4 linked regions of the Kluyveromyces lactis genome follow. The protein of the gene in region 2 purifies or fractionates together with the protein of the main gene of each other region. This does not show direct contact. Links are inferred from orthologs where the notes say so. Each region holds a gene or a part of one and is shown on either strand. Other genes may lie near its edges. The genes, in order: ENP1, TSR1, HRR25 and DIM1.

Evidence for each region.
Region 1: the proteins of TSR1 (region 2) and ENP1 purify together in Saccharomyces cerevisiae (affinity purification with mass spectrometry; 16 studies listed by BioGRID, with this or other methods). This does not show direct contact. The link is inferred for Kluyveromyces lactis from reciprocal best matches to the Saccharomyces cerevisiae genes TSR1 and ENP1.
Region 3: the proteins of TSR1 (region 2) and HRR25 purify together in Saccharomyces cerevisiae (affinity purification with mass spectrometry; 5 studies listed by BioGRID). This does not show direct contact. The link is inferred for Kluyveromyces lactis from reciprocal best matches to the Saccharomyces cerevisiae genes TSR1 and HRR25.
Region 4: the proteins of TSR1 (region 2) and DIM1 purify together in Saccharomyces cerevisiae (affinity purification with mass spectrometry; 8 studies listed by BioGRID, with this or other methods). This does not show direct contact. The link is inferred for Kluyveromyces lactis from reciprocal best matches to the Saccharomyces cerevisiae genes TSR1 and DIM1.

What each region holds. Positions count from the first base shown.
Region 1 is NC_006042.1:634,243-642,787, reverse strand, and holds ENP1 (snoRNA-binding rRNA-processing protein ENP1), read right to left. Parts: upstream 4,178-8,545; coding exon 2,741-4,177; downstream 1-2,740. Other genes in the region: ribosome biogenesis GTPase LSG1, read left to right, coding at 1-857; SNAP receptor USE1, read left to right, coding at 1,745-2,527; SRM1 (Ran guanyl-nucleotide exchange factor), read left to right, coding at 4,845-6,287; HIS7 (imidazoleglycerol-phosphate synthase), read right to left, coding at 6,410-8,068; 3-deoxy-7-phosphoheptulonate synthase ARO4, read right to left, coding at 8,527-8,545. UniProt on the Saccharomyces cerevisiae protein: Required for normal export of the pre-40S particles from the nucleus to the cytoplasm.
Region 2 is NC_006041.1:450,900-456,498, reverse strand, and holds TSR1 (small subunit rRNA maturation protein TSR1), read right to left. Parts: upstream 3,764-5,599; coding exon 1,400-3,763; downstream 1-1,399. Other genes in the region: REH1 (Reh1p), read right to left, coding at 1-1,100; KLLA0_E05127g (40S ribosomal protein uS14), read left to right, coding at 4,897-5,067.
Region 3 is NC_006040.1:261,521-270,189, forward strand, and holds HRR25 (serine/threonine protein kinase HRR25), read left to right. Parts: upstream 1-4,240; coding exon 4,241-5,758; downstream 5,759-8,669. Other genes in the region: KLLA0_D03058g (RNA helicase), read left to right, coding at 1-118; NPY1 (NAD(+) diphosphatase), read right to left, coding at 2,296-3,450; cAMP-dependent protein kinase catalytic subunit TPK2, read left to right, coding at 6,413-7,531; MNP1 (mitochondrial 54S ribosomal protein bL12m), read right to left, coding at 7,767-8,279. UniProt on the Saccharomyces cerevisiae protein: Protein kinase which phosphorylates serine and threonine residues. Can use casein as a substrate. Phosphorylates elongator complex member ELP1/IKI3 on 'Ser-1198' and 'Ser-1202' which promotes the tRNA modification function of the complex.
Region 4 is NC_006040.1:54,493-62,601, forward strand, and holds DIM1 (putative dimethyladenosine transferase), read right to left. Parts: upstream 4,365-8,109; coding exon 3,402-4,364; downstream 1-3,401. Other genes in the region: KLLA0_D00528g (uncharacterized protein), read left to right, coding at 1-34; KLLA0_D00550g (nucleobase cation symporter-1 family protein), read right to left, coding at 596-2,335; KLLA0_D00572g (uncharacterized protein), read right to left, coding at 2,793-3,212; ACM1 (Acm1p), read right to left, coding at 4,663-5,352; PLC1 (phosphatidylinositol phospholipase C), read right to left, coding at 5,698-8,109. UniProt on the Saccharomyces cerevisiae protein: Specifically dimethylates two adjacent adenosines in the loop of a conserved hairpin near the 3'-end of 18S rRNA in the 40S particle.

The sequences.
Region 1 (8,545 bases), on a different chromosome or scaffold from region 2:
CCTTGGTGGGTGCCAAGAAAGTTTCTGTCTCTTCTACCCCTGGTAAGACCAAACATTTCCAAACTATCAAGTTATCTGATAAGGTAACGTTATGCGACTGTCCAGGTCTAGTTTTCCCTAATTTTGCATACAATAAAGGTGAATTGGTGTGTAACGGTGTTCTACCGATCGATCAGTTACGTGACTATATTGGGCCATCGACATTAGTGGCAGAAAGGGTCCCTAAATACTTTTTGGAAGCCATTTACGGTATCCATATTCAGACCAAATCCGTAGAAGAGGGTGGGAATGGTGAAGTACCAACTGCACAAGAATTACTCGTTGCTTATGCCAGAGCTCGTGGTTATATGACACAAGGTTTTGGTGCCGCAGATGAATCTCGTGCCTCTCGTTACATTCTCAAAGATTATGTGAACGGTAAACTCCTGTACATTAATCCACCGCCTCACATGGACGATGATACGCCATATACCAGAGAAGAATGTAAGGAATTCAACAAAGATTTATACACGTTCAGTAAATTACCTATCAACAGACAAGAGCAACTTGCAGAAGCTGCCAAACACAAAGGTATACAAGATTTGGATCTTGCTCGCGATTTAAGTCGATTAACGTTCTCTGCTCATATTGGTGGTGATGGTGATAAAGTACAAGCTAAATCTGTCAACCATGGTGGTAAACAAGCAGCCTTGTACAACGTAGCTGATGAACTTGACAAAAATTTCTTCCATTTGAACGGTGTTCAAGGCAGACTTACGAACCCTTTCCATAAGCAAACCGTCGCCAACGAAAATGGTAAGAAGCATAACAAGAAGAACAAGAAGAGTAAGAAAAAGGCTTCCATGTTTTCCGATTAATGTAAGTACTATCTAAATTCATCCTAAACTCTTATATATATATAAATCCACTGTTTGCACAGTCTATTATCCCCATTCATTATGGAAATGTAACTGCATATCCTTTATATCTTCCTTAGCTGCCCTGCTTCCGGTTATAAGACCTATGGTTAGCATGCAACTTGTCACTGCATTACCCGGTGTTTACTGAAAAATTTGATGAACCAAAAGAAAAGGATACAAAACTTGGTTAAAGTTGGTTTACTTTATACTTGACCTCAGTACATGGTCCAGTTGATAAGTATTCTTGTCATTTGTGGTTATCTTTTTGGTTCCTAGCTCAGCAAACAAGGGCTCTTAAACACATTTCGGCATGTTCAATTATGGTTCGCGTTGTGGTTATCATGGCGCAGACTTATTCCACGCATGTAGAAGTAAGCTCAAGATGCCCAGAGCTGGGATACTCCCATTTAACGCCCTTTTCGCTAACAACAACTGAATTCCTACAGTTTGTAGTTTGATAGTAGGTGGGCGGAAATATTACCCATTTAATTGGTTCAGTAGTTTCCTCTGAAATATTATGAGAGTCGTATGAATTTGTATATCAATAAGATTTAGCAATAGTTAACCAAGTTCAGCCTTATGTTATACTTACCATCGGTAGATACATTAAGTAGCACTCGGTCCACTCTTTCTTACATGCGCTTTTGTAAGGGTTGGCAAGGGTCATGCTTCAGAGTGAATGACTTTCATTCAGACAGCTCTGTTATTTCTTTGATTGAGGTTTGGGATAATATTTTAGTGACATAAAACAAAATGTAATATAGCCTTTAAAATAATACTTAGTACAATTCCAATCACAAATAAAAAGGGATAGCGCCTCGTTAAAGGACATTAACTGACGGAATATGACGACAGATTTAGACACATTAAGTGATCAACTACGCAAAAATTATTACAGGGACCTTTCGCTCTTTCAAGATGACGAAGACCCTTTTTACCATTATCTTATATCTACAAAACTGGCCACAAACTTAAATACCGTGAGAAAACTGGCTATAAAGGATAACTTGGATGATCCGTCTTCTGATGCTATTGATAGATACCAGAAAAACTTTAGCAGACTAGAGGAATCGGTTAGCTCTATCAGTTTCTCCAAAGCTTCTAAGTTGCAACAGAAATATGATGCATATCAGGAATCTCAAAAGAAAAGGCGATATAGTGTTGATTTCGATGCAACGCCCGACGTGCCTATAGGAGATGAGGACGATGTTGATATAATATCCAATGTTGAAGCAATTAATGACAACGATTCTTTGAAGGAGCTCCGCCAAAGGCTTATGGGTAAAAGAAGGGACAGCGCTGATACGGAGGGTGAATCATTTGACAAACAAATGCAAATTCAGGATGATCTTCAGAAGGAACTGGTTGAAGACATGTCCCAGCTAGTTTCAGGCTTAAGACAAGGTGCGGAAGCTTTCCAGAATGCTATCGAACACGACTCTACTGTTCTTAAGGCAGCAGAAATCGGATTGCATGTTACTTCTAAGAGCCTTTCTTCACTCGGATCCAGATTGAAAAAGTATCACAATGAAAAAATTGGATTTTTAATGAAGTTAGGACTTTTATCGTTTATTATAATTGGTCTATTGGTCACCTATCTTGTAATAAAAGTATTTCCAGATTTATGAGTGTCTTCCGCTAAAATCTCCAAGATTTAGATAAAGGCTCTGCTTCACTCAAAAGCTTCAAAGTACAAAATAGACTCATGAATATTCGATGAAATTAATTGATACCGTTTCCACTTATCGAATAGATTGATTCTATTGATTGTCTTATCTATAATTGCATATTATACACTTGTTTAAAATTGACAGGCACTTATATTGTTATAGGACTATTGACTACAGAACATCAAACATTAAATCAGCTTTATTACCAACATCACTGACAAATTCTCTACTATCACCGGCTAATAATTCTCTTCTGATTTCAGGTCCAATTTCTTTGTGACCTCTTTGACGAACAGTTTCAAGTAGGAAATCTCTTTGATCTTGGGTAATATCATTCTTATAACGTTGAGCAAACGCTAAGAAAGCTTTATGCCATACCACAGGTAAGACTCTGACGGCATCTTGGCCTGTACTTCCATCAGTGACTTCTCTGAATCTCATGAAGTAGAAGACACATTCGTCAACAGTTTGATAAGGCAAAGCATACTTCTTCTCGAGTAGAATTTTGATGAAAACGGTGGTGGCTGGGGAAAAAGGTAATCTTAAAAGGTAGGACAATGCTGCAGCAGAATGAAGAGCTGGCACAGAGACCTTGGATAACACACTTGCAGCAATGGTAGCTTCTCTAACATTACAACCGGATTCCACAAGTGGGAATAAGAACCCTTTGAAAAAGGCAGCCGGTTTATACAATGATTTCTTTAATGCACGGTAGACATGGTAATTTAAGTTGTGATCTTCGTTAAATTCAATTTCTTCTCTGAAGCGTGGTAACAACACAGCTATAACGAATTTTTGGGCCTCTTTAGATGATAAGTTAGAAACAAAAAGTTTAGTACCTTCGTATATAGCATGCGGAGACCATTCCTCTGGATTAGTAACATAGAGAACATCTTGCCAGTTATTTAGAGAAGGCAAAACTTTGAATAGTTTGGGTAGTTTACCATGTCTCCAGGTCTGCATAATGGTACCAACGGCAAGGTATGCTTGAATCACCTTGGGTGGTAAGGCGACACCTTCTGTACGATCTACAGGTGCAGCTGGTTCCGCTACTGCAGAGGCATCACCTGCTTCTTCTTCATTATACTGTAGTTCCATCTCTTTTTCTCTAATAGAAGCCATAATCTTATCGGCAAGGTTATATGATCCATTGGCAGAGTTGAAATCAGCAGAAGTCTTGAAATATTGGTCAAACATTTCAGCATCTTCTTCGTCAATTTCTACCACTTCTTCCTCCTCGTATCCTTCGAAATCGTCTTCATCTTCCGGTTCAAAGTCAGATATGTTATTACCTTGAGCTTCCTCTTCCTCAGCTACATCATCTTCATCCGCATAGTTGGCCACACAGAATCTGTTTATTCCTTGGCTGGATGTCTGCAGAGACTGCTCGTCCTCTTCCTCTAATTCTTCCTGCTGTTCCCTAGCTAATTGCAAAATTTTTCTAGATTGCTGGGCATCGACAAATTCTTCATCTTCATGGCCTTTTTGATCCTTAGCATCGATCTTTTTCTTACCTTGTCTTTTCAACTTACCATGTTGAGAGTCAAGATCGTTCAATAAAGGATCGTGTCTCTGTTTACGACCGCTGCCACCCATTACTTTACCCATTTTCTCCGTAGAACAAATAAATCTTGTATCACTAGTCGTATTCTGAGCACTAAAGCAGACACTAATGAGTAATTTTGTGATTGTTATCTGCCATTTACCTCATCTCATCTCATCTCATCTCATCTCATCGCTTCTCATCTCATCGTTACTTATTCAAATCCCAAAAATTTTCAGTCAATGCACGGACAGAAAAAGAAAGGCTAGAGATACTCTGTTTAGAGAAGTCAAAGGTTCAATTAAATAACTCTGGAGCATTGGCAGCGGGATCGTCGTGATTGAAACAGATATGCCACAGCGTTGAACACAAATTCAAGCTACTGTAAACAGCCAAGAGCTATGTTCTTCTAATGATTACAGGCAAAGAATGTTGTTTGTTTTGCACGTGACTTTAAAATCTGGAAAGATTTTTCAACTGCAGCTTAGATTCGTTTTACGTATATATAATTAACAATGGATCAAGTGTAATGTGATCTCATATGCGTGGTGACACATTGCTGGTCTCTTGTTCACTCAAGCTTCTCCCTTGAGTTGTACTTATCGATTGATCAAAAACCAAGTGTTCATTTCCGTTTTTTTCGTTCCTTGCAATCTTAGCAAAGTTACAATTAACATTAGACTAGGCCCTTCCAATTAATCTTTTAATTGACCACCAGTTACTGAAGAAATCATGTCTAAAAGATCTTCTAGTGTAGCGAACACTCCAGTTAAAAGGAAGCATTTACACTCTACTTTGAATCATAAGTTTGTTAGCATCAATTCTCAAGATGATTATAAACATTTGTATAGATCTGTTGTTCCACTTGACATTTTTGTATGGGGAACTGGATCAATGTGTGAACTAGGCTTGGGTCCTCTAGCTAAAAACAAAGAAGTTAAGAGACCTAGACTCAATCCCCTTTTGCCCCGTGATGAGGCTAAAATTGTGTCTTTTGCTGCAGGTGGAATGCACACCCTAGCGCTAGACGCTGACAATAACATCTGGTCGTGGGGGACTAACGACTCAGGTGCTTTGGGTAGAGACACTAGCGGAGCTGTAGAAAAATTGAAAGATATGGATGCAAATGATAGTGATGATGATGAAGATGGTGACCTCAACGAAATTGAATCCACTCCAACTAAAATTCCTAGAGACTCTTTACCATTGGACGAATTAAGATGTGTACAGATTGCTGCCACAGACAATCTATCTGCTGCTCTATTTGAAAATGGTGACGTTTACGCTTGGGGTACCTTCCGTTGTAACGAAGGTATTTTAGGTTTCTACAGAGATGAGATTACCGTCCAGAAAACCCCTTGGATAATCCCTAACTTCTCCAAGAAAGCCAAGATTGTTCAAATGGCTGCTGGGAAAGATCATATATTGTTCTTGGATGAAACTGGTATTGTTTACGCCTGGGGTAATGGTCAACAGCAACAATTAGGTAGAAGAATTTTGGAACGTTCTCGTTTGAGAACTTTAGATCCAAGACCATTTGGGTTGGATAACATAAAGTATATTTCATCGGGTGAAAATCATTCATTTGCCCTTTCCACGGACGGTAAACTGTACTCGTGGGGTCTTAATCAATTCGGGCAATGTGGTATATCTACAGAATTAGAAGATGGGTCCTTGGTAAGTGTTCCTACTGAGGTCATTTTGCCAGAAGGAGTTGAAATCGATTCTGTTTCTGCTGGAGAACATCACACTCTAATATTGGCGAAATCTGGTGATTTATATTCTTGTGGTAGATTAGATATGTTTGAAGTCGGTATTTCAAAGGATAAACTACCTGAGTACACTTATAAAGATGTTCATGGCAAGGCCCGTTCTATTCCTCTTCCAACAAAATTAGAAGACGTTCCTTCATTTAAGGCCATCGCTGCAGGCTCTCATCACTCCCTCGCTATTGCCAAAAATGGTATAGTGTATTCCTGGGGATTCGGTGAAACTTATGCAGTTGGTTTAGGTCCTTCTGGAGATGATATTGAAACACCTACAAGAATCAAAAACACGGCCACTCAAGATCACAGCATTGTCTTCATTGGCTGCGGTGGTCAGTTTTCTATTTCTGGTGGTGTTAAATTATCTGACGAAGAAGCAGAAAAAAGAGCTGATGAAATGGATGATTAAAATTAATAAAAGTTATCTGTACTTTCATTAGACAGTATTTGTGTATCTATATATTTACAAAATTAATTAAAAAGATTACGCACTAGGTAACAACCTAAATGAGTCGATATTAATCGATAAGGTTACTCGTTATCAATTCTGACTTTTAAACCTTTAGAGATCAGGTAATCCTTGACCTGGTTAACAGTGTATTCTCCTCTATGGAACATACCTGCACCTAAACAAGCATCAGCCTTTGTCTTTGTAAATCCTTGTTCAAAGTGACCTGGATTCCCTGCACCTGATGAGGCAATAACAGGAATTGAAACGGCACTTTTAATATGATCGATTAATTCCAAATCGTATCCTGAGTTTGAGCCGTCTTTATCAATACAGTTTAGGAGAATCTCACCAGCACCAAGGGCTTCACATGCATGAGCCAATTCCCAGGCTCCTAGGTCTCTGGATTCTCTACCACCCTTGATTGTACATTGATACCAGCACCAATTTTGCCCCTCAGGATTAGGCGATAAAGTTTGGAAACATTTATTAGGGGTTTCGTTCCTATTGTTAACATAAACTCTTTTAGGGTCCACAGAAATAACCACCGCTTGTGCACCATAAGCTTTAGAAATCGTTTCAATTGGAGATTTTCCATCACCCTTTTCTCCGTTAGCATAGTACTTTTCTGCAGCAAACACTGCATCTGTACCAATAGAAACCTTATCAGCACCAGATCTGAAATACATGCCGGCCACATCTAAAGCCGGTACTTTTGTGCCGTCAACATCCACGACATCTTTGATACCACCTCCGACTGTCAGTGGTACAAACACAGTCTTGGCAGCAAGTCTTAGCACATCCAACATTGGAGTATCCTTTAATGGACAGTTTCTGAAACTGGTGATATTTAAGAAAGTAACTTCATCAGCACCTTGTTCATAGTAACGTTGTGCGAGCTCTACAGGTTTTCCCAAGTTTCTAACGTTGCCTCCTTCTGTTTTTTCACGGACATCGTATTGGTCCCCTTTGGTTACCACTAGATCACCTTGATCATTCGTACGGACATCGAGACAAGCAATTATTCTTCTTGTCAAACCAAAGTTTGTATAGTCATTCCCTAAAAGAGATTTTTGTTCATCTGTGTACTCTGTAACTGGGTGAATACCTTTCAAAAAGTTATCTATAATTTCTAGACCGGCCTTACCAGATTTCTCCGGATGGAATTGTGTAGAAAACACATTATCCTTGTGAATGGCGGCAACAAATCTTTCGTTACCGTATCTTGTCAAAGCAACTTTCCATCCCTTACTATGCAAGTCATCAAGTTGTACATCATCGACGATCATAGCAAAAGAATGAACGAAGTAGTACCTTTTATAAGGATCTAAACCAAATGAAAGATCGTCCTGTGGAATAATGGTATTCCATCCAATTTCGGGAACACTTTTACCTTCACTGATATCAAATTTGGACAAAGTACCTGGGATTAAACCTAACCCTCTGCTTGAAGGAGATTCAGAAGATCCATCGAAAAGCGCTTGCAAGCCAACACAAATACCCATCAACGGCCTTCCGGATGCAATATAATCTTTGATAGGTTGCTCAAACCCACGAGAAGTTAAGTTATCGACAAAATGGCCAAAATTACCGACACCTGGCAGGATGATTCTTTCAGCAGTTTGTAACTCTGGATCTGAAGCAGACTTGATTAATCTTGTCTCGTAACCTAAATGATTGATAGCATTCTGCAAGGATTGCAAATTACCAGATTCCACATCAATAATATGCACGACTGTCATTGTGATTTACTGTAGTCGCTACCAGTCGTTTGCTGTTTATCCTTTGAAATCTCTTGCTGACGATATATCCTCATCGATACACTTGTATTTCATAAGATTAGATTCGTTAGTTCTGTATTTTCTATTATTTTAAAAAAAAATTAAACCTTTTCGAAACTTCAGAAGAGAATCAGAGAGTGAGTCATTGACAGGGTTCAAGTTAAAATGAGTTGTTGAAATCAGTCATTGACAATCCACCAACCCATTCTGCTGTTAACTTATAATGTTCTTGCTAGAGTTTTATTAAAACGAGCCCATGATTTTTTTTATCTATTCATGTCTTTCCGTGTTGTAATTAGACTATTATATACAAATCGTTAAATTCAGCAATTGAACGAAAAGATTATTTAAATAAAAACGTGTTTCAAATGGGTACTCAGGTATTCATATGTTTTCTTTTATGATTATTGATATGAAGTTTATTCAGTGTTCTTCTTT
Region 2 (5,599 bases):
ACCGTTCTTCTGTCATCAGGAGAAGTCGAACCTAGAGGAACATTCTGCCTGTAATATCTTTGCATGCTCCTGTGGCCTACTTTGATTCCGTTTCCTAATTGTAATTCCACTCCAGAATCATCGATATGAACCAGCGCATAATTGGAATTGATGTCAGCCTCCGCTTCATCAGCCCCGTCTTCACTAGAATGTAATTCTGCCGTCTGAATAATGGATTCACTATTTGCAAACGTTACTGGCGATACGGATGAAGACGTGCCATGTTTGGCTGAACTATCAGAAACTGCTGCTTCATCTAGTGAAGAAAAGTCATAAAACTGCGATATAGCTGCTCTTTCTGCCTTTGTTTCATACGGTAGCATGCAATGGTGTTTAGATGACATATGTGCCCTTATACTTTCAACTGATGATCCTTGGTATTTGCAGCAAAGACAGTTCTTGTTGACGATAATGATGTCGGTCAAATACTTAAGTAAACCGGTCAAATCGGTCAAGTATGAGCGTTCAGGTAGGTATAGTCCGTGCTTATTAAACATATGTCTAACATTTGCTTCAACTTGTTTCGAGTTTTTCCCACAGTAGATACACTCCGTAGAACTAATCCTTTCGTGGTCATTTCCAATCTCTGATTCATCAGATGATTCATGATCGGTGTTTGAATAATGTGAATAAGAATCCTCGGTAGTGAAGCCATGATCTGAAAAGGCCTCTTCTTCAAGATCAGTACTTCTGAAAGTGGCTCTAGATGCATGTGATGTAATAGACGATGCTGGTGACAAGGATCTCAAATCTTGGCCAGAGTGTTGAAGACCCTCTAATCTACTCCTTCCTAATTTTCTTCCCTTTCTCTGGAATCCGCGGGAGTGGTTAATAGGTTTTAATACTGGGAAGCCAAACTCATCAACTTGATTTAGTTCCTGTTCACGATTTGACATTTGCAACTTCTCAGCAAATAAACTGGCACTGATTGGAGCTAGTTGGGCTACTCTTCTTTTCAAATTGTACCTATGCCATTCTGTCTTCATATGATGACGTTGCAAACCACTTGATTGGAACTGGATCATGCATGAGTTGCATGTAAACATAACAATATCGCTCATCTGATAGTATATTTCTTCGGTGCTTCTATGTTAGGATTCAAAACCTACTTTATTGCACTTGGCTTGCTTTCAAGAGCTTACAAATTGAGTGTCAAATACTAAATATGCATTCTAATGTGCATAGAATTATTATTTTTATTTTTATATTGCTTGAACAAAACTGTACGAAAATCCGGAAGAGTTACAAATCTCGAGATGGAACCGAACATCAAACAAATTACTGAATATAATATGTACTAAGTGCCAATTTAAGCCTATATGTTTTCCTACTCAATCAACACCATATGTATATACATGAACTACAGGAGTTTATCTGACCATGGTAGTGAAGCATTTGGCCAAACACGCTTATATAGTGACATAGCAACAGTGTCTTGAGCCGAGAGTCTCCCATCGAAAGTAGCTTTGAAGTAGCCATGCGTACCCAAACTCTCTTTGATGAAACCTGATCTTCCTGATTTCGTGAATAGTGGGATCGACTTGAACCATTCGACATCTTCTGGTCTGAAGAACATGTAACGGATCGTGACAAGTTTCTTGTGGAATTTGAAAGGATGACCAGTCAAAACAATTCTCTTTGCCATGATACGGGTGTGATCAGCGTTCAAGAAACTTCCGTGTCCCACCAATTCTATACCCTTAGGGTCTGTAACAGATGTTTTGAAGAAAATTGCTGGTGATTGTGTAAAATCTACAGGAGCAATGCAAGTTGCTACTGAAACATAGTTTTGGTGTAAGAATCTTTCAAACTTATGCACGTTATTTGGACTAGTGGATGCAGAAGAGAACAATGGTTCTATGGTGTATCTTCTAATACCGTACTGTACGATGATTGGTTCAGAAGAAGGAACAGGGCTATCATACTCTTCCCATCTCTCTATCGAGAAATTTACTACAGCATTTTTATGTTCGTGTTTCAACAAGCTGTAAACAGCGAAAACCTCAGTCTTTGGATCGGCTAGCTTTTCTAACAAAAACTTAGGAATATCAATGTACAACTTTATTATATCACCAGCAACTACTTGGGCGGACTTAATTGCTTCCTTGTTCAACTTTTTCATAGTGTTCTTGTAATTTCCAATCCTTAGCACACGTTTCCATTCGCTTGGACAGTCGGGGTCTCTCTCGTCAACTTCCCAACTACAGTTGTGCAAATTCTTCAACCCCCTGTAGCTTTTAAGCGACTCAATAGCAGATTCCCGTGGGTCAAGTTCAATTTCGTCAGGAAATTCGAGATCTTCCTTTTCTTGATCTCGATATTCTCTGAGTTGTCTTTCTTCTTCCTCTGGAGATAGATCAACAAACATATCTTCTCCACCAGCTTCAGTTTGAGTGTCCATTTCTGATTGAGCTTGCTCGGTATTGAATGTATCTACATCGTCTACCATCATTTCATCCTCTTGTATTGGCACGTTCTCATCTTGAATCTCTTCAAGTTCCTCCTCGTCGCCTATTTCAATGACGTCATCTAAATACCATCTTGCTTGATATTCAGAGGTCCCCTTGGGAAGCTTCACCTTTTTCGATTCTTGTTCTCTGCCTGGTAAGAACCCATGATCATCATACCTAGCAGCAGTTAAGTTCTCATATTCGAAACCATCCTCGTAATCTGACCATTCGTCCATATTCATATCTTGAGCTGCGTATTCTTCCAAGATATCACGTTCTTCTGATGGCAAAAATTCCGTGCCTTCTTCTGTAGACTTATTTCTTCTCGCTGAGGCTGCCAATTTCTCTATTTTGGAGACTTGGAAATCCCCCATTCCTGGTATGTGAATGAGTCTATCAATGTTAAAGCCTGCCCCACGCACTATACCTTGTACCACTAGATGTCCTCTGTTTTCAGAGCTTTCTATGAAATCTATGTTGTCGGCGAGTAAGTATCCCCTAGCATCTCTCCACTTGACAGTACGAGGATACTTTTGACATAATGTTCTGATGGCATTGATAGCTTCGGATGGTTTCTCCAAGTTATAAACAGATTTTTCGTTAGGGAAGAAATGTGTAAAGTAACTCTCTAATGATTTCTTAACATCTAGTTGGAACTTTTCCTTTGGATGTACTTGTGAAAGATTCGAGACTACACCGAGGTAGGAGGAAATACCTTGGAATTCTAGAGATCTAATAATTTGTTCACCGAATTCACCATCCACCTCAGATGTACCACTTAACCCAAAAACGACGAAATCTGCCACTTTAGCACAGTCTAAAATGTTGATGAAATTGGACATATCTGGAATAATCACTTGAAGAGTAGTTTTAAACTTATTGATTCTGAAATTAGTGACACTCGGCATCTTCAAATCGAATTCTAAGTCAGATTCTGTTTTGCCGTCATTTTCGGCGGATAGTATCAATTTCTTAACGATATCATCTGCATATACATCTGCTGTTAATGGAATGACAGTGATAATCTTCTTCGCACCATTGTTTCCCTCGAATAATTTCTTAGTCTCTAGAGTATCTAGTATTTTCTGGTGTCTCAATTGTTTAGAAAGGTTTTTCCTCTCTAATTTAGAAACAGATTTATTTGACTTACCATTCTTGGCTTCTTTCTCAACTTTTCCTTTGAACGCGTTCTTCAAAGAACCTTTAGAGGCATGCTTGGACTTGAATGGTTTGTGACCGTTTTTCACCGATGATCTATGCGAATGACCAGCCATTTCGAACAGAAAAATTGCAAAGGTCTCGTAAAAATTTGAAGATCAAACAAACAGCTTTTTACTGTTCTTCCTTATGTTACTTTCTAATATGGTTGTTGACTAGTTGCGATAAAAACAAGGAAAATAATCCAATTTAACCTGTTCAGCATTTTGTGATGAGCTTAGATGAGATGAGCTTCACTATTAAAATTTTCAATGTACAACTTGTTACGAAGAAAATCGTCAACAAAGAAGACAGACAACAAAAAAAAAAGAAATGTGAAGCCTGTGACTGTTTTGGAGGCAATACATCCGTGCATCTTTTTTATTCTTTTCTGTTTCTTTTCTGTTGAAGATAGATTTTCATTCGTGGTAAGAAAATTCCTTATATGGTAAAACATTTTTGTTACTATCCGTCTTGGTGATGGAATTTGCCAGGTTAGAGCAAGTTTCACCAAACTCAGGTTCTTCAATATTAACAAACTTAAGATTGATTAACTGTACCAAATGATATAGGCAATTAATACTCATTTAAGAGCTAAAGAAAGCATACACAAACAAGAGATTCAAATCGTATGTGGAGCACAATAAGATCTTATGAGCGCTGTGCGAACTATGAAACGTTTAGGGATTAAAATGGACATCTATGGGAAGGAGCAGGACTATGCATGCTGGATAATGATGAGAAAGAATATTCAATAATAATAACAATGGAGGCGTGATCCCTATAATGAATAGGCATTAAAATATTATAGTATTGGAAGAATAGTGATCAAGAATACCTACACATGTTTAGAGACAAGTTCCAAGAAAGATGTAATGGCAAAAGAATGCATAGGAAAGACAAGTACTGTCAGAAGAATCATACTACATTTTGTTTACAACAATTATAGGAACGATCAAGATCAATTTCAATCTCCCTGATTCAAAGTGAATGGACAAGAAATGGAAAATTACTTGATTTTTGAAATGATTTAGTTTACATATGGGGGAGATTTACTGGATCCCAAACGTCCGCAATATTAAAAGCAGTCGCTCACGATAAAATATCAGTTGACGGGTTTTATTCAAAACCCATTTTTACTTGATATTTACTTTTTACTATATTGGAAATATTTTTACTAACAAATTGCAATTTATCTTCTTAACAGAAAATGGCTCACGAAAACGTTTGGTACTCCCACCCAAGAAAGTTCGGTAAGGGTTCTCGTCAATGTCGTATTTCCGGTTCCCACTCTGGTTTGATCAGAAAGTACGGTTTGAACATCGATCGTCAATCTTTCAGAGAAAAGGCTAACGACATTGGTTTCTACAAGTACCGTTAAACCTTTCCCGATTTCAATCAATGGGTTACATATTTCCCGTTTTTATTGTTTGTAATTTAAAGGAATAAAGAATATTATATCTATTCAAGTTGTCCTATAACCTTTGTACATAAACCGTTTGTTTCTTTGGTTTGTAGCGTTCCCCAGAAAACTTCTCGCAGTTATGCGGCTATCTGATGGCTCCTTGACCATAGTAGAACGAACATAGACACATCTCATCAGCCCTAAGCAAGCATCTTCGAATCGAAATTTCTTCTTACCCGGTCTTCGATAGTTTGAAAATTTTGTAGAACAATTAGTGTATATAAAAGACACGGATTACTTTTAGGACTTAGTATGTTAGCTATAAGTTGAATGGTTTCTGAAGTCTTTTATTGTTTAAGAGGCTGAATCAAAAATTTTACCGGAAACAATGCCACAGTTGGCTTACTGTCATCTAACAGTTGCTAATTGCCAGTATTTCAACAAGATTGAGATGCTAGTTTCCCAGATCAAAATCGACTGGATAGGAAGTTCGTGGTTTGTGTATCGA
Region 3 (8,669 bases), on a different chromosome or scaffold from region 2:
ACTTGTAGATGAAGTCATTAAAGAAAAACTTGAGAACCCACATTACGTCAAGGCGGACTATTCTACCAAGGGCGATGACGTTCTCAAAATTGTGGAGCAGATTGTCAAGTCGAAATAGAAGGAACACTCACTTGACAGCTAAAGTCCAGATAACTCATATTTAACATTAACATTTATAGACTGTAAATAGTAAAACAAAAGTCTTGTGCTTGAAGCGCATGCGAATCATCAGCAGAGAAAGGCTTAATATTAGGCTTTGTTAAACATGAGTATTAAATCTGGATTTGAAAAAAAAAGTAAAAAGTAATGAAGGATGCGAGGTTCGAACTCGCGCGGACAATTGTCCAACAGATCTTAAGTCTGCCGCCTTAGACCACTCGGCCAACCCTCCAATCTTTATGAAAAAGTAAATTTTTTCCATTTATACTGCATAGAAATTTAAGCACAGCTTAGAAGCGTCAATTCGTTTATATTAGAATTAAAACCATAAACACCAAAAACAAAATCGTGAACGTAGAATAATGTTGCTTTCACGAGTGGATATCTAGAACATTCCACCATCAAAAGTCGGTGACTTTGTGGATTCTTTTTGGCTCAAAATGCAGAGGCTTTTAACAGTGAAGAAATGCCTTAGAATCTTAAAATTGTCATTTGAACTCAGCTCAGCTCATCAACATTATTGAACACAGCAGTGAATTGAATCTGGTTTTCTCAGCCTCTGACCGAGTTTCTTTTTTTATTTTTTTGTATCGGCTGCATTACTTCAGTATAATAAACCATATAACAGTTTAGGTAATATAAATCAAATACCATGGCATATTTGGCAACATCATCGTCAGTGGGAACCAAATGACTATATTAGCTGAGTTGCTACATAAATATTCAGTTGAATTTCAATACAGCTGTACTTTTCAAGGTGCTCCTTTTTTTTGCCATAGTATATAAGAGAGTATGAGTGACAGATTTTAGAGTATAGGTTCCAATTGCATACGAGTTCCTCGTATGCAATTGAGATTGAAATAAAACTAAAAAAGTCTCTGAAGCTTTTTATGTCAGCTTGAGTAGTCAATTAACAACGAGTTGGGAACAATTGAGTTCTTTGAAAGTCACAATTGAACTTGGCGGACTACTGTCCCAGATATCTTACAATAAATAACCGTCAGCAACAATCAAAATGAATACGCTATCAGAATATTTTGGAACTAGTCATAATGCATGACCGAGTAATACCGATATAATAGGCGGATAGTGATATCGGCATTTTCAGTCACGTGTTGTTATTTCAAGATCTTTGGTATCTGATGAATCCATAGTGTTTATTAGCTATATATCTAGTAGTGAATGTTGATGCACCTGGCGATCTGGCATGACTGTGTTGATGGTCCTTGTTCAGATCTAATGCCTCCTTATATAATAATTCAGATTGGTTAATGATGTTTCAACTAGAAACAATCCTTATGTATCATCTTGATACTTAACCGCCTATTACATTGGTAGTTACCCGATCATAGTTTATGATCCGTTTCAACACGTCTGGCTTGTCTTAAGTCTATCTTACGACATTCTGAAATATATTGGAGGGTTGGCCGAGTGGTCTAAGGCGGCAGACTTAAGATCTGTTGGACGATTGTCCGCGCGAGTTCGAACCTCGCATCCTTCATTACTTTTTGTCAATTAATCAGGAAAGAAGTAGTGCAGTGATTTCAATCAGAATCCCATTGAAAGCAGATTCCGCCGCTAGATGTTACGAGTACCGTTATTTTTGATACCCTTGTCTAGCCATTAATATTATGTTTTTCTTTTCGCACGATGTTGTTCTAGTTTTGATCGAATGTAATACTAATAAAAAAGTGTTGTCAGAAGAATATCAATAAGTGATGGTTTCCAGCTACCGTCATATTCAATAACTATTTTACTTTGTTTACCTAAAGTGAAAAAGAGCTTGTACCATTTATATACATTAAGACCATTTTACCAAAAAGTAATGAAGGATGCGAGGTTCGAACTCGCGCGGACAATCGTCCAACAGATCTTAAGTCTGCCGCCTTAGACCACTCGGCCAACCCTCCAGTTTTCTGAAAATCAAAAAAGTTTTAGACCACACATATCAGGCTCGCAGTGCATTGTGTATGTATATGTGACTTCAGAAATTGGCAAGCAACTCAACACAACAGAGGTAAACGCAGAGGAATTCAGAATGATATGACGAATTCACACTCTGATATAAATATGCTACATGCGGATAATATGAGGTTACTATGAAAATCAAAAGCGGAAATATGCGGCTTGTTACTATTACAAATGTCCGTTAAATCTTTTGTACTTGATTACAGCATGCTCTATCAATTGATGTGCGATAGCTGTATCACCAGGGAAAGTGATCCTGTCATCAAAATTTACCAATCCCTTTGGTGCTTTACCGTACCTTTCAAAGGCCTGAGACACAAGTTCCATCTCGAACCATTGGGCATCCAACAATTCTTTATCATGTTCTAAATTAATTATCTCATTGTCACCATTAAAATCGATCAAACCAAGGCAACCAATCATCAAGTTGCAGGGATACGGCCAAGGTTGCGTGAAAAGGATATCCACATCATTTAGTTCAACTTTAATACCAGTTTCTTCCCATATTTCACGCTGGCAAGCGTGCTCCACAGTTTCTGCAGGTTCCATGAAACCAGCGATGGTGGAATACATTACCGCGTTACCGTGCTTTCTTCTTGATCTTGCGAGACATATTTTTGAGAAACATCTGTCTACGATTGCAACAATGACCACTGGATCTGTTCTTGGGAAACACACATTTGAAACAGCTGCGTCCCTTACCGAGCATTTAACAGATTCGTCGTTATTTCCACATTGTAATTTGGTTCCACCATGGACAGGAAATACTTTCGATGCACATCCGGGACAAAACAAAAACTTTCTCAGCCAATCTAAGTACATGTTTGCATGAGAGAAGAGCGAAGCAACTTCATTGCTTAGGTTGAATGCTTGCATCCTCCCAAGTGGTTCGTATTGATCTAGTATGAACTTTGTCTCCGACTTTTGAACTAGAGTATCGGACGCTGGCCGCAAATCCATGGCAAACAATGGGGTACCGGTGTACTCCTTGTAAGAAAAACTGCTGTCACCATCCATCAACCCTAAAAACGTTATTGTGAACCCGGATTCAACTAACCATCCTCTCTCGGTATCCATGACAGATCTTATCTTGTTTAGTAAGCCTGGCCATTCCGAGTAGTTAGGACAACCTTGATGTCCTAACATTAATAAATTGGTACCAGACTTGTCACTAGTCTCAGTTGCGAATGCTGCCCCATTGATAAACGGTACAAACTGAGTACTTCCATGTTCGAACGCTTGCTTGATGAAAACCTCGTCGTCCCTTAGGAATGACACTCTATTGATAGTTTCCAATCCGAAAAAGGTTACACTTCTTTCCATATGTACTGCGCTATCAGGCTAACCACACTATACGGGTACTAAATTGATCGAACTCCAAGTACAACAACCTCTCCAGCGATCAAAACGACAATGCGACTAGGTTGTGCACTGAATATACACGTATAAATCCAACTGTTCCCGGTCATTATGTGGATGTGACTGCAAACCATGCTTTGGAAATTACCCTACCATATATCACGTGATCATAAGTTTCTACTATCCCCTTCGTAGAAAAAAGAAACACTATTATTTTTTGTACCAAAAATTGAAATTGAAATCAACTTAACCACAATTAATCACCATGTTTGATATTTCATTGGTGGAGTTAGAGCATTAGACGGAGAATTTAGTGGGCCATTTGGTGTCATAACACAGGTTAACTGATACGGAAACTCAGATATCAAAGTATAGTTTCAAAACGTCCATCTTTCCCCAACTATATACTTAGGAATTTGACCTTTTTTTTGGTCTCTGTTTTGGTTTATTTTTTTTTTTTTTTCATTTCAGAACTTCAGGTTTAGTTGCAGAATTTCCCTCTCAATTTTGTGAAGTTGAGAAGCAATAAAGCAACAAGCAACTGACATATCTCACTGTACGTTTGTTTCCAGTTGAGTTTGATTATAGGATAAAAATATCTTACTTGATATTTCTGGTATTTGAGCTTGTACATGAGAACGTGGATATAAAGACTTATTTTGAGGTTCTGCGGTATATATACTTTCATTTGATTAGAAATATTGAAGGTAAGACGTGAACAGGAGAAGACAGACATAAGGAACGAAAAAGAAAGATGGATTTAAGAGTTGGTAGAAAGTTCAGGATTGGGCGGAAGATTGGCTCTGGTTCCTTTGGGGACATTTATCATGGGACTAATTTGATTAGTGGTGAAGAAGTCGCTATTAAGTTGGAGCCGATTCGTACGAAGCATCCTCAATTAGACTATGAGTCTCGAGTTTATAAGTATTTGAGCGGCGGTATTGGAATACCATTCATCAGATGGTTTGGGAAGGAAGGTGAATACAATGCTATGGTGATCGATCTTTTGGGTCCGTCTTTGGAAGATTTATTTAACTATTGTCATAGGAAATTTTCTTTTAAGACCGTAATCATGCTTGCTCTGCAGATGATCTGTCGAATCCAATACATTCATGGCAGATCTTTCATTCATAGAGATATTAAACCGGACAATTTCTTGATGGGTGTCGGAAGACGTGGATCCACCGTGCATGTTATTGATTTTGGTTTATCCAAGAAGTATAGAGATTTTAGAAGTCATAACCATATCCCATACCGAGAAAATAAGAACCTTACTGGTACTGCACGTTATGCCAGTGTCAATACGCATCTTGGGATCGAACAAAGTAGACGTGACGATTTGGAGAGTTTGGGTTACGTGTTGATATATTTCTGCAAAGGGTCCTTACCATGGCAGGGGCTCAGAGCCACGACAAAAAGACAAAAATACGACCGTATCATGGAAAAGAAATTGTGCATCACCGTCGAACAACTATGTCAAGGTTTACCTATGGAATTTGTTGAATACATGAGATATTGTAGGAACCTCAGATTCGATGAAAGACCAGATTATATGTATTTGGCTCGTTTGTTCAAGGATTTGTTCATCAAGTTGGAATACCATAATGATCATTTGTTTGATTGGACCATGTTGCGTTACACAAAAGCCATGATCGACAAACAAGGAGGCGCCCAAGCATTGGAACAAAAAGATGAAAATGGTAATAAACAGGATTCATTTGATAAAGTGAAACAATTGGCTATGAAGAAATTTTCAACACATTTCCACTATTGGAAACCAGATGATACTTCTCATCCAACTGCTGAAGACATAAAACAACAGACTATCCTAAACACCCAAGTTATCTCCACGATCCCAGATGAAGTCATGAATGCTATCGACAGAAACATGGAACAGTTGAAGCACGAAGTGAACCAACAGGTGGCGTCTCAACCACAACAAGGACAACCACAAGGACAAACTCAGGGACAAGGACAAACTCAGGGACAAGGACAACCACAATCAGGTCAGCAACTAGATACACAGTTACCTCAACCTACCACGTTACTACAACAGCAAAGGGCACAAGTTCAAGGTCAACAAGAACAGATGTTACAACAGCAACAACAACAACAACAACAACAGCAGCAACAACAGCAGCAACAACAGCTTCTGCAACAGCAACTGCAAACACAACAACAAACGCATCCAAATGCAATGGCTATCACCAACCCACTACCAAACCCTAATAACACCACCAAAACTACCACTACCAATAATATCTGGCTTTAAACGCAAAAGACGAAAACAATGCGCAAACAGTTGCAAAATCTGTAGAGTAGAAAAAATCACACACGCTCATACATATATACAACTCATCATCAGTTAATCATGGGCTTCTAACCCACATTGGTTATAAATTATAACTCGGAAATCTGTTACCTAATTCACACTTATATTTCTTTCTTATATGTACTTGAATAGTGGAACATGGGGGAGAACACACACAGGGATTTTCTCACCAACATGAGCAACCATGAAAGTAAGCTGGTTACTGAATCGGCAGCTGACACAGGTTTACGGTACTCGCAGTTCACAGCTCATTGTTGCTGCTGCTGAAGTTTCCCTCCTCATCCTTGGCAAGGCCATTATCGCAATATACGAATTCCACTACTAAATATCGAAAAAGGGTTTCTGTTCCTCACATGAACAGTGAATTGTGAAAAACTAGACCAAAGGAAAACTAACAACAAAAGGAGAGTCAACTGTGGTGAGAAAAAGAGAGCAATCTAGGGCGCATTGAGTCTTGAAAAAGTGCAATATCCATATAAGACTATCAGTCCAAAGCTATAATTAAGGCAAAAACTGGTTTGTCCCATTTTGTACTGTTTATTCATTAGAGTAAACTAGGGGATTTTGACCCCAAGGGAAAAGGAAAACAAGAGGATGGAATATCAGCCTGTGAATTTACAACAGATGAATACTGCTCCAGCTCCTGCAACCAATCCTGTGAATCCGGCGGATGTGACCGTGGGTTCACAATCTACCGATTATTTATTGGCTCAGCAGAAGGAATCGTTGTTGCCTCAAAGGTCTACTGTGTCTAAGGGGAAATATACGTTGCATGATTTTCAAATCATGCGTACATTGGGAACAGGGTCATTCGGTAGAGTGCATCTCGTGAGGAGTGTGCACAATGGACGTTACTATGCCATCAAAGTTTTGAAAAAACATCAAATCATTCGAATGAAGCAAATTGAGCATACGAATGATGAAAGACGGATGTTAAAGCTGGTTGAACATCCTTTCTTAATTCGGATGTGGGGTACGTTCCAGGATTCTCGTAATCTATTCATGGTTATGGATTATATCGAAGGTGGTGAATTGTTCTCGTTGCTCAGAAAATCCCAACGATTCCCCAACCCTGTGGCTAAGTTTTATGCAGCAGAGGTGACTTTAGCTTTGGAATACTTACATTCTCATAACATAATATACCGTGACTTGAAGCCAGAAAACATTCTATTGGATAGGAATGGGCATATCAAGATAACGGATTTTGGGTTCGCCAAAGAGGTAATCACAGTGACGTGGACGTTATGTGGTACCCCTGATTACATTGCTCCTGAAGTAATTACAACGAAACCATATAACAAGTCTGTTGACTGGTGGTCTCTTGGAATCTTAATCTTCGAAATGCTCGCTGGTTATACTCCATTTTATGATGTTACGCCAATGAAGACCTATGAGAAAATCTTAGCTGGTGAAGTCGTTTATCCACCATTTTTCCACCCTGATGTTGTGGATCTATTAGGTAAGTTGATCACTGCAGATTTGACCCGTAGATTAGGTAACTTACAAAGCGGGCCAGATGATATCAAATCGCATCCATGGTTTGCGGAAGTTATATGGGAAAAGCTTGTGGCAAAGGACATCGAGACGCCGTACGAGCCACCAATCGCTGTCGGTGTCGGTGATTCCTCTTTGTTCGACCAATATCCGGAAGAGCAACTGGACTATGGCGTTCAGGGCGAAGATCCATACGGCCAATACTTTTTAGATTTCTAACGAAATCTTCAAAGAAAAACATAACTCATAATCGATTCATTTTTGAACGGATCGTTCGTGAAACTACCTCTTCTTTTTACTTTGTTATGTCGGTCGGATTGCGTTTATATATATATATCTTAATCTTAAGAGTTTATATTAATATATTTTTGGTTATTATTATGTACAGGAAAATGAGAAGAGAACTCGTTTTGACATGGGGAATTTACATGCGTGAGGTGTTCGACGTATCTGTCTATTCCAAGACAATCTTGGCACCTAGCCCTTCCAATGCAGCCTTAACCTTGTCAGCGTCTTCCTTAGCGACGTTTTCCTTCAAAACCTTTGGAGCACTTTCCACAAACTTCTTAGCTTCAACCAATGACAAACCTAACAAGTTCTTAACTTCTTTGATGATCTTAGGCTTAGACTTGGCATCAAACGATTCTAACTTGATGGAGAAAATAGTCTTCTCTTCAACGACTTCTTCTTCCTTGGCTTCTTCAGCTGGAGCAGCTGGGGCAGCTGAACCAGCACCAGCTGCTGGGAACGAAATATCTGGGATGTTCAATTGAGTCTTCAATTCTTGAATCAAAGCAGAAGTTTCCAATAAAGTCAATTTGGAGATATCTTGAACGATTTGAGAAATCTTTGGATCAACCGCAGCAGCTGGAGTAGATGTACCAGCAGTCGATTGATAACGAACCAAACCTAATCTACAACTGTTCCTTGCAAAAACGCCGGATGATCTTACCACTTGACGCAACATTTTTTCTTTTATATTATTCCCAAACCCACCTGTGATAAAAACTGCTGTTCTCGGTTAGATTCAAGATGGAGAACTAATCGTGAATGTCAACAGTACAACTCCACAATCTGTTTAACCTGTTTCGATTGTTCAATGGAATTGTCTTTAGGTTTAAAGCTTTTTTCCCAAAATTTTTCAGCTAACAGATGATAATCGTACGGAGTGATAGATGCTGCTAACACTTTTCGACATTTGAAAAGCTTCGATTGAGAACTAGGAAAGGATCCAGAATTTGAGCCATGGTTTTGATAGGAATAAGAGTGTATAAGAAGTGACTCTGGTTTAAGTGGGGTCAAAGTTGTTTGTTTTGTGGTTTAAAAGCAACATATTGTTGTGTACTTGTAGTTTTTA
Region 4 (8,109 bases), on a different chromosome or scaffold from region 2:
CGAACCAGTTCCGATTGCTGAGGAGTATAGTTAAACTTTGTCAGACCTCATTGCTAGAAGTGTCCCTAATACTATAACAATTGTTGCTATACTTCCACTGTCATCATCATCTCGACTATTTTTTTTGTTATCATTATTATCGTTATTATTATTATTATTATTATTATTATTAATGTTCTTGTTGCTGTTCTTGCTGTTGTCAATATTTTCTTTATTTCTACGATTATTCTTTTAATGATATCCACCGTGAACTTACCTTGAGGTTATACACCCTAATTCACAATTGAGCAGACGTGCTCAAACAGAATTAGCATTTGTTTTGTGACTTTTCATCAGTAGTTAACCATTGGTGATATTCATATATTTCATTTATATATAGCAATATATCACTTAATAAGCTATATCATTATCATTGTATGATTCTCCTGAGTATTGTCAAAAACCTGGTAAAAATAGGAATGTTTGATGACAGTAAGAATAAAGGTATTATATCTGTTTTGATAAAACTAGTTTAAATAAACGACAATCATCGATTGGATAATGGCCTGTTTGCCTGGTCCTTATGGCCAAAATATTAAATTAAGAAGCGCTAGATTTATAAAACAACGTCAGTAGAGTCAGATTTCTCAGGTGAGTTAATCTTCAAATTACGTAGTGATACTTCAGTAGGATCTGCCAAATAATTCGAAGAGTCGATGGAATGCACGCCAATGTCTTCTTGATCATCAGCGATCATATTCTTCTCTTGAAGCTCACGCTCAGTAAATGTGTGATAATAATCGATTTGGTCAGTTTCACCAACTGTAGGCTTGAAAATAGTGTTAATGATATAGTAAAGGGCGAAGGTAACGGCGAATTGGAAAATGAACGAACCTTGGAAGAAGTGTTCAATACCTGTATTGATAGGAATGTTTGGGTTAGCCGCATTGATCAAACCAGGCAAACCCGGGGCCGCACCACATAAGAAACAAAGGATGTTCTTCCAGTTAATACCGTACTGAAACCAGTAAATTGAGGAAGGAGAATCATCGTAACAGTCGGATAACTTGATAACGCCCTTTCTAATGACAAAATAGTCACAAACAAACATTGCAGTTAATGGTGTGATGAAAACAGTGAACGAAGACATAACTGTGAGGAAAGTGGAAGTAGCATTATAGAATAACCATGGTTGAGTAGGCCAAGCCAACAACATGATCAATATTGAACCTCTTCTGATGTTAATGTAACGTGGGAAGATAGAAGCCAAATCCATGCCACCAGAGATTGCATTACTGATACAGTTGACACCAAGCTGAGAAATTAGTAAACCGAGACCTGCAAAGAAGGCAGCAGCTCTGGACTTCGGAGTATAATTTAGCTGCATCCAATACATGCAGATATCATTAGGCATCCAAAAAGACTCGCCGTATTTTTCTAATAAAGCAGAAGCAGTAACAATACCCATCAAAGGAAGCACGATACCCATTACGTTGACACCGATTAGGATACCGATGTAAGCAGATCTGGGCCTTTTGTTGAAACGAGAGAAATCGGATTGGTTTGAAATACCAGCGATAATGAATGAATACCAAGCATTCAAGTTTGTGATCCAAGACCAAGCAAGGTCAGAAGAAGAGGCTGTAACCTTTGCAGTTAACAATGGTCCATTGGAACCACCATTAATAGTCACTGCCCAGATGGTGATTCCCAACCCGACAAAGAACATACAGAAAGACCCAAGGGCCAAGATATGGTCGAAGTATTCTGGTCTAATCATAAGCACCGGAGTATTGATTACCAAAAAAATCACAAACCCAATCAACTCCTGTCTCGTCATAGGTACTGATTCTGGGAAGGTATTGGGCAAATTCAAATATGTTTCACTCCACGAGGAAATGATCACATTCACACAAAGCCCTCCTAACCAAGCTTGGGAAGCAAACCACACCACGGATAAGATAGCTCTGATAAGAACACCAAAGGATGACCCACGCATTCCAAAGATGATACGCTGGAACACAGAGTACCCAATATGGTACTCTGAGCCATACACTGAGTTGATGATGGCTGCAATACTGATGAAGAAATTTGCCAAAACAATACATCCAATGGTTTGGCGACCATTCATACCCGAAAGCGTCAATTCACCATCAGTGCCCACATCGTACAACAACAACGCTGACCCACCAGACCACGTACTAATACACAAACAAAGCAATGTCCAGTATGATGTAAAACCATATATACCCCATTTTCTTCTTGAAACAGGCATAGGAACTAAATCCTTATTACTAGTTCTGTCGGATTCATCCAACACCAAAAGGTTGTGCAACTTCCCAAGAACCCCAGCCATTACAAACTTTCAACAATCTTTAAATCCTGGTGTTTATTGCACTAGTTAAAACAATGCCTATGGAGCAGCCAAGTTAAGTACGAACGAATACGATGCGAAAAACGCACAAACCTTAGTTTATGTATCGTCTAGTATTTATGAAAAAGAACAGTCTATTACTGAGATGAGATGAACCGAATTGAAAAAGATATACTAAGATTTGATACAAAGATTAGGCAAAAACAAACATAGAAATATATTGTCCACCAAAACAACAAACAAATGACTACTTTTAGTCTGTGCCCCCGTTCAATTTCAGAAGTATTAACGGCTGCATGGTACAAAACTCGAGACATATACAGAACCACTAGGAGACCCACAGTTTGTAGGCAAGGCTGCCTTTATTCAAAGGTAAACATTTTTCGAAGGAATAAAGAAAAAAAATTTTCACCCAAAAGAAACGGACCCTCTACGGCCGTTAACAGAAACAAGCACCCGTCTCTGTAGGTTCTTTAAAGTTCTGAGTAAATCGTGCCATGCTTGCCGTGTTAGCTGGATTTGGTTTCTTAGTTTTATTTACCCAATCTACGATAATTGAATCATTTTTTTTTAATAGAGTAGAATGTAGTAACCAAATTTGGCCCGTGTCATGTACTTTATTTTTGCCCACATCAGACCAGTGTGAGTTTATTATTGTTTTCAGATTGATTTTCGAGCTTGCCTTTAGATTTTTACGGGGTTTGGTTTTCAAGATCAGCAGCCTTTGCACCATCATGTCTCCGCAGAATGCCGAAATATGAAAGTGGTGGTTAGTTGCGAGATGCATTTTTCGAGACGCATTTCCGAGAAATTGACTACCTATTGAGTAAGGCGAAAGGGTTCTGACATTTAAGTGCATTTAACAAAACTTACTGGCTGCATCTTTGAGGCATCTTTAATACTTGCAGAAGTTGTCGTGCTAGAAAGAGCCTAGGAGGAAGGTAATTAGTGAAATAGAAAGGACAACTATCTCAGATGAAATTAATGGGTTATATAGTGTACATATAGTTTTCTATTAGTGCTGACGCGAGCAGCTGTTTCAATTTCTTTAAGCAAAGTGAATTCCTACTTGGTGGAATCCATACAATAACTTCAAAAAATCCGTTTGGTCGCATTTACCAGCTCTCTTCTCAGCTAATCCGGTCTCGCTCAGTACTTGCTCAATCTTTTCCTTGACTTCATTGATTAGAGAATCTCCAGAAGAGGTTGTAGGTACTGCAGACTGCGTTGCTAGGAAGGCCTTGTAATTCTTTTCCAATATCTCAAGGACAGTAGTGGATTTGAATCCTGCTGCAATGGTTCTGTTTTTCCTTACAAACACTATCCGTAACAAACCGTCCCATTCATTAAAGTCAACTTGAGGTCTAGGGTTCTTGATCTCGATCCTAACTACACTTGATTCGACCTTAGGTGGCGGCCTGAAGTTGTTTTTTCCAACTTTCATTATATGTGTCACATTTGCCCACATTTGGACGTTTGCCGAAAGCCTACAGTACAAAGAATCCCCCGGTCTGGCCAACAATCTCATGGCAAATTCTCTTTGAAACATGAGAATAGATACCCGAGGTGGTTTTGGTTGGTTTATTAACTTGAACACCAAGGGAGATGAAATCTGATATGGGGTATTACTTATACAAACATCGAAATAAGGCAATTCGGTCTTCATAAAATCCCCTAACAAGATCTCAAGTTTCTTCTCCACTGGCGTTCCATGTACACGTTTCGTCAGCTCCGCTGCCATACGAGGATCGAACTCCACGGCAACAACTTTCCTTGCTTGTTCCAAGATCCTCACTGTTAGATTACCGGTACCAGGACCAATTTCAAGCACAATATCCGATGGCTTTATTTGAGCCTTGTCCACGATACCTTGAGCAACTAACGGATTCTTTAGGATATGTTGCCCTAAATCAGTGTTAAACTTGAACACCGTAGTCAAATGCTTCTCAGCATCCACTTCTTTACCTCCAGAACTTGCTCCACTGTACTTCTTTTTAACTGCCTTGCCCATCGTTTCAGTGGATATAATTGCCAAGATACACAACTGCTTAGCTTCTTACCAATGTTATGCGATCAATTATAGACGCTATAAAATAGTGTAATTAACCCAATACGACCCGTTAAATATCTCCGCTGAGAGTCGTGTTCTCTGGTCATTTATGTATTCGATGCGATGAGCTCTCAAAATTTTTCAACCAGCCTGAAAAAGAAAAGGTTCTTTTCAAAGGAAAAAACAAACCTTCAATAGGATCCATGCCATTCCATGTCAAGTTGATATATATTTACGTTCTTGGAGTTACATAATCTTGTCATCTGTTCTCATCGATGCAGAATTGAAGTTTCCTCACCACTTTGTTAGCATTAATATCATCTGTGGTCTTCGAAAAGACTTGATCCTTGTCGTTAACATGTGTTTCATGAACAAAGAAATCCTTTAATTTGGCGTTTCTTGGCGGAGTGATGTACTCTGGTAGCTTACGGGTATGGTTCAAGTGTAAATTAAGATGGTGTTCTTGACTAAAACCTCTATATTGGATTGTACCAGGAAACAACTCGATGTCCAAGTCTTGCAGTGGCGATATGGCTGTTCCGTTAGAGCCTCTGTTTTGAGTGGCCTGTGCTCGTACTTTCGCAAGTTTATTCTCATCTATATTCTCTAGTTCTTGCTCGTTCTCGTCGTGTACAGCTTTCCTTCTCAATGAGACGTGTCTCATTAAGGCCACTGCCCGATCTTCTTCCGATTCTTCATAAAAGGCGAATGATGAAGGATCGTCGTCACCCTTCTTCTTGGGTGACCCCCTTTTGATAGAGAAAACTTGTTTCACTGGACTCTTCTGTAGAGCCCGCTCCACGTCGAGTTTAGTCTTGATTCTTCTGGGTGAACCATGGCTTGATGTACTACCGGTTGGTTTTGTTATCGAGTTCCCAGTGCTTATTATGTTTACGTTCTTTGACGTCAGAACGGCTCTCTTCTTCAGTGGAGATCTGTGTTGTATCATCTTGGTTGGGTGGCAGGCTCTATGTAAAGTGTTCCTGGTCAGACACCTTAAGATAAGTAAAGTAAAGATTTTGATCCTATTGTTCTTTTATAAAATACCTGATGACACTTTTTCTTAAGTTTTGAGACCCGCCAAATTTCCGCTAAGTATAGGAAACGCGAAATCCTCGATGCGAAATAAGACGTGAAGCTATAAAATAGAGAACGGCCTTGGAAAGTTTTCTATTATCGAGTGAATGGAACTGATTAAACAATAGTTCATTAGTATTGAATGTTATATACTGGAATTATCGTTTAATTAGCGCTGCTTAATGAGTTTATGTAAGTTGTGTATGTTGGGCGCCAATCACCATTTTAGAAGTTCCTCTTTGTAGCGTATGAATAGAGTGGAGAATATGAACTTCTCCCCTTTTATGTTGTACAACGGTAAGTGCCTATACCCTTGCTTCAAATAATTCAACCGTACACACGTTGTTGCGATAGTTTGCGTGGAGTTCTTGACTGTAAACCGCACGAAGTTGAACGTAGTGTTTGTAAGTGTACACTCGAACGACGCATTCCACACGGGACTGAAGCCGTTATCACGGAAGCATTTTGTCGAAAATAGTTGCGGTGAACTAAGGACAGGTACAGATACTGCTGGAGGAGCAGATGGAGTACTGAGTATTCCGTCTTCCGCGGACAAACCTGAAATAACAGTGGTTCCATTACTTTCACAAAGTGGTTCAGTCTTACCGCTGCTGCCGTTGCTATCAACGCGCTTGGTTGAGGTACTAGTAATGTTAGCAAAAGTACCATTTGAAGCATTACTCATGCTAGTAATTCCGGTAGCATGGGTAGAGTTATTGGAAGTATACCCCATTGGCTGCAAGCAGTTGGTAAGGTGAAGTGATTCCATGGTATTGTCAGTAATGAGTTCGATTTCTACGAATGGTGCTAGTATCTTGCAGTTTTGTAAGGATAACATCTGGCCAGAAATTACGTCCAAATGGATATGAATCTTCTCCCGTTTGAGCCTTTCCATAATTACTGGAATGTCCTTCATTTTATGTATCTCTTTTCGCAAGTGAGCGGGCTTCAAAACATACCCAGAATGCCAGATGGAATTTCTATCTAGTGAAACTTGGAACATTGCATGGTTCAATTGTTGTCCCAGGTCATACGTCTGCCAGTTTGTTGCGACCATTTGTACTCCTTCTTTCCAAAATCGTATTGGGTTGAAATTGGAGGATTTGTACCGCAACATGTGCGGATAGATTCTCATTAAATGTCTGCGGTTATGCTTGTTGATAGCGAGTTTTTGAGTTTCATCTTTGTCAAGATTGATAAACTTCTTCTCACTTAGTGAGAAGCAATGCGTAGTGGTTTTTGATTCAGGCAACGAAAAGTTTCTGAATCTTACTCCGTGAATCCCAGATATTTCATGAACCTTGTCTGATATCATGATCTTTGTTGATAACAATAACGATTTGTTGTTTCTCTTTGTTGTCACTGGAACTGTTGTCGTATTTGGAGAAGTGCTACTGGTAGTACTTTTTTGTAAGCCCCGCTTCTTGATTAACCGCATGTCATTTGTTTCAGAAAGTGATTCATGAGAGGAAGAAGACGTATAGGATGAAGTTGATCCACTTATAATTTCAGACTCTACAGCATGCGTCTTCTTACTTTTCAATATAATGCGATTTTTCAGCTGCTCTGGTGATAATAGTGAAGTGTTTGGTGGAATTACGAATATAAGATCTCCCAAAATTTCCTTCATAATTTTCGTTATCATTAATTGGTAATCCTTCTTACAGTGGATCTCTAGAGATACAATAAGCGGATAAGGTGAAGTGATAAACGCATATTTTCGTATCGTTTTAACAACATCTTCTAAGGGGATTGACTGTGTGAAAAGACCATGGCATACCACAGGCCCATGATCTCCTTGCCATATGTCTATTTCGATACAACGGCATCCTTGTTGCAAAGCACGAGTATAAGCTTCGACACTTACCTCGTCCACCACTTGCTTCCCCATAAGATAAGTGTTATGAGATGATGATATGAAATATTCGTTTAGCGGTCTAGAATAATCTTCTTCGAATAATTGTAGGAACGGTTGTTTTGTTAAGAATTTTAATAAACCCTCAACATCTAAAAGTTCATCAGCGGTGCAATACTTTTTGAAAATCTTATAAGCATTAGTCTGTGATATTACTTCACCTTGAACGTCACATATGAACTGGTAAAAGCTTTGAAAGTCAACCACCTTAGTATCCTTATTTTTCATTTGATTCCAGATTATTTCAATCTCCGGCCTAGCTTTTAAGTACTTGACAAAATCTTGGAATTCGGGGAAATTAAGCAAACTGTTATTGTTAGTGTCCGCTTTAATGAAAAGTGCGTAAAGGTAGTTATCAGAACAGTAGATATGATATCGGTTGCAAAGTCTCTTCACATCCGCGAAACTTAACGTATCTTTGTCCTGGTCTTCTTTCTTTGTGGAAACACTGGTCTGCCAATGAATATTGGCGAATTGTTCATTGTTTGGAACTGCAATATCTTCCATTAGTTTCCTCCTAGAATTCACCAAATTTACTGTCGTTTCATAAAAAGATTTGAATACTGCAGCGTCCTCCGCAATAACATGTAAAGCCTTTAATCTGTTTTTGTTCACTGAATAGATGATAGTACACCAAAGGTCCCGTGAAGGACAAGGAACATTGTACATATCCATATAATTGGTAGCCATATCACCACTCCGTATATCTTTGAT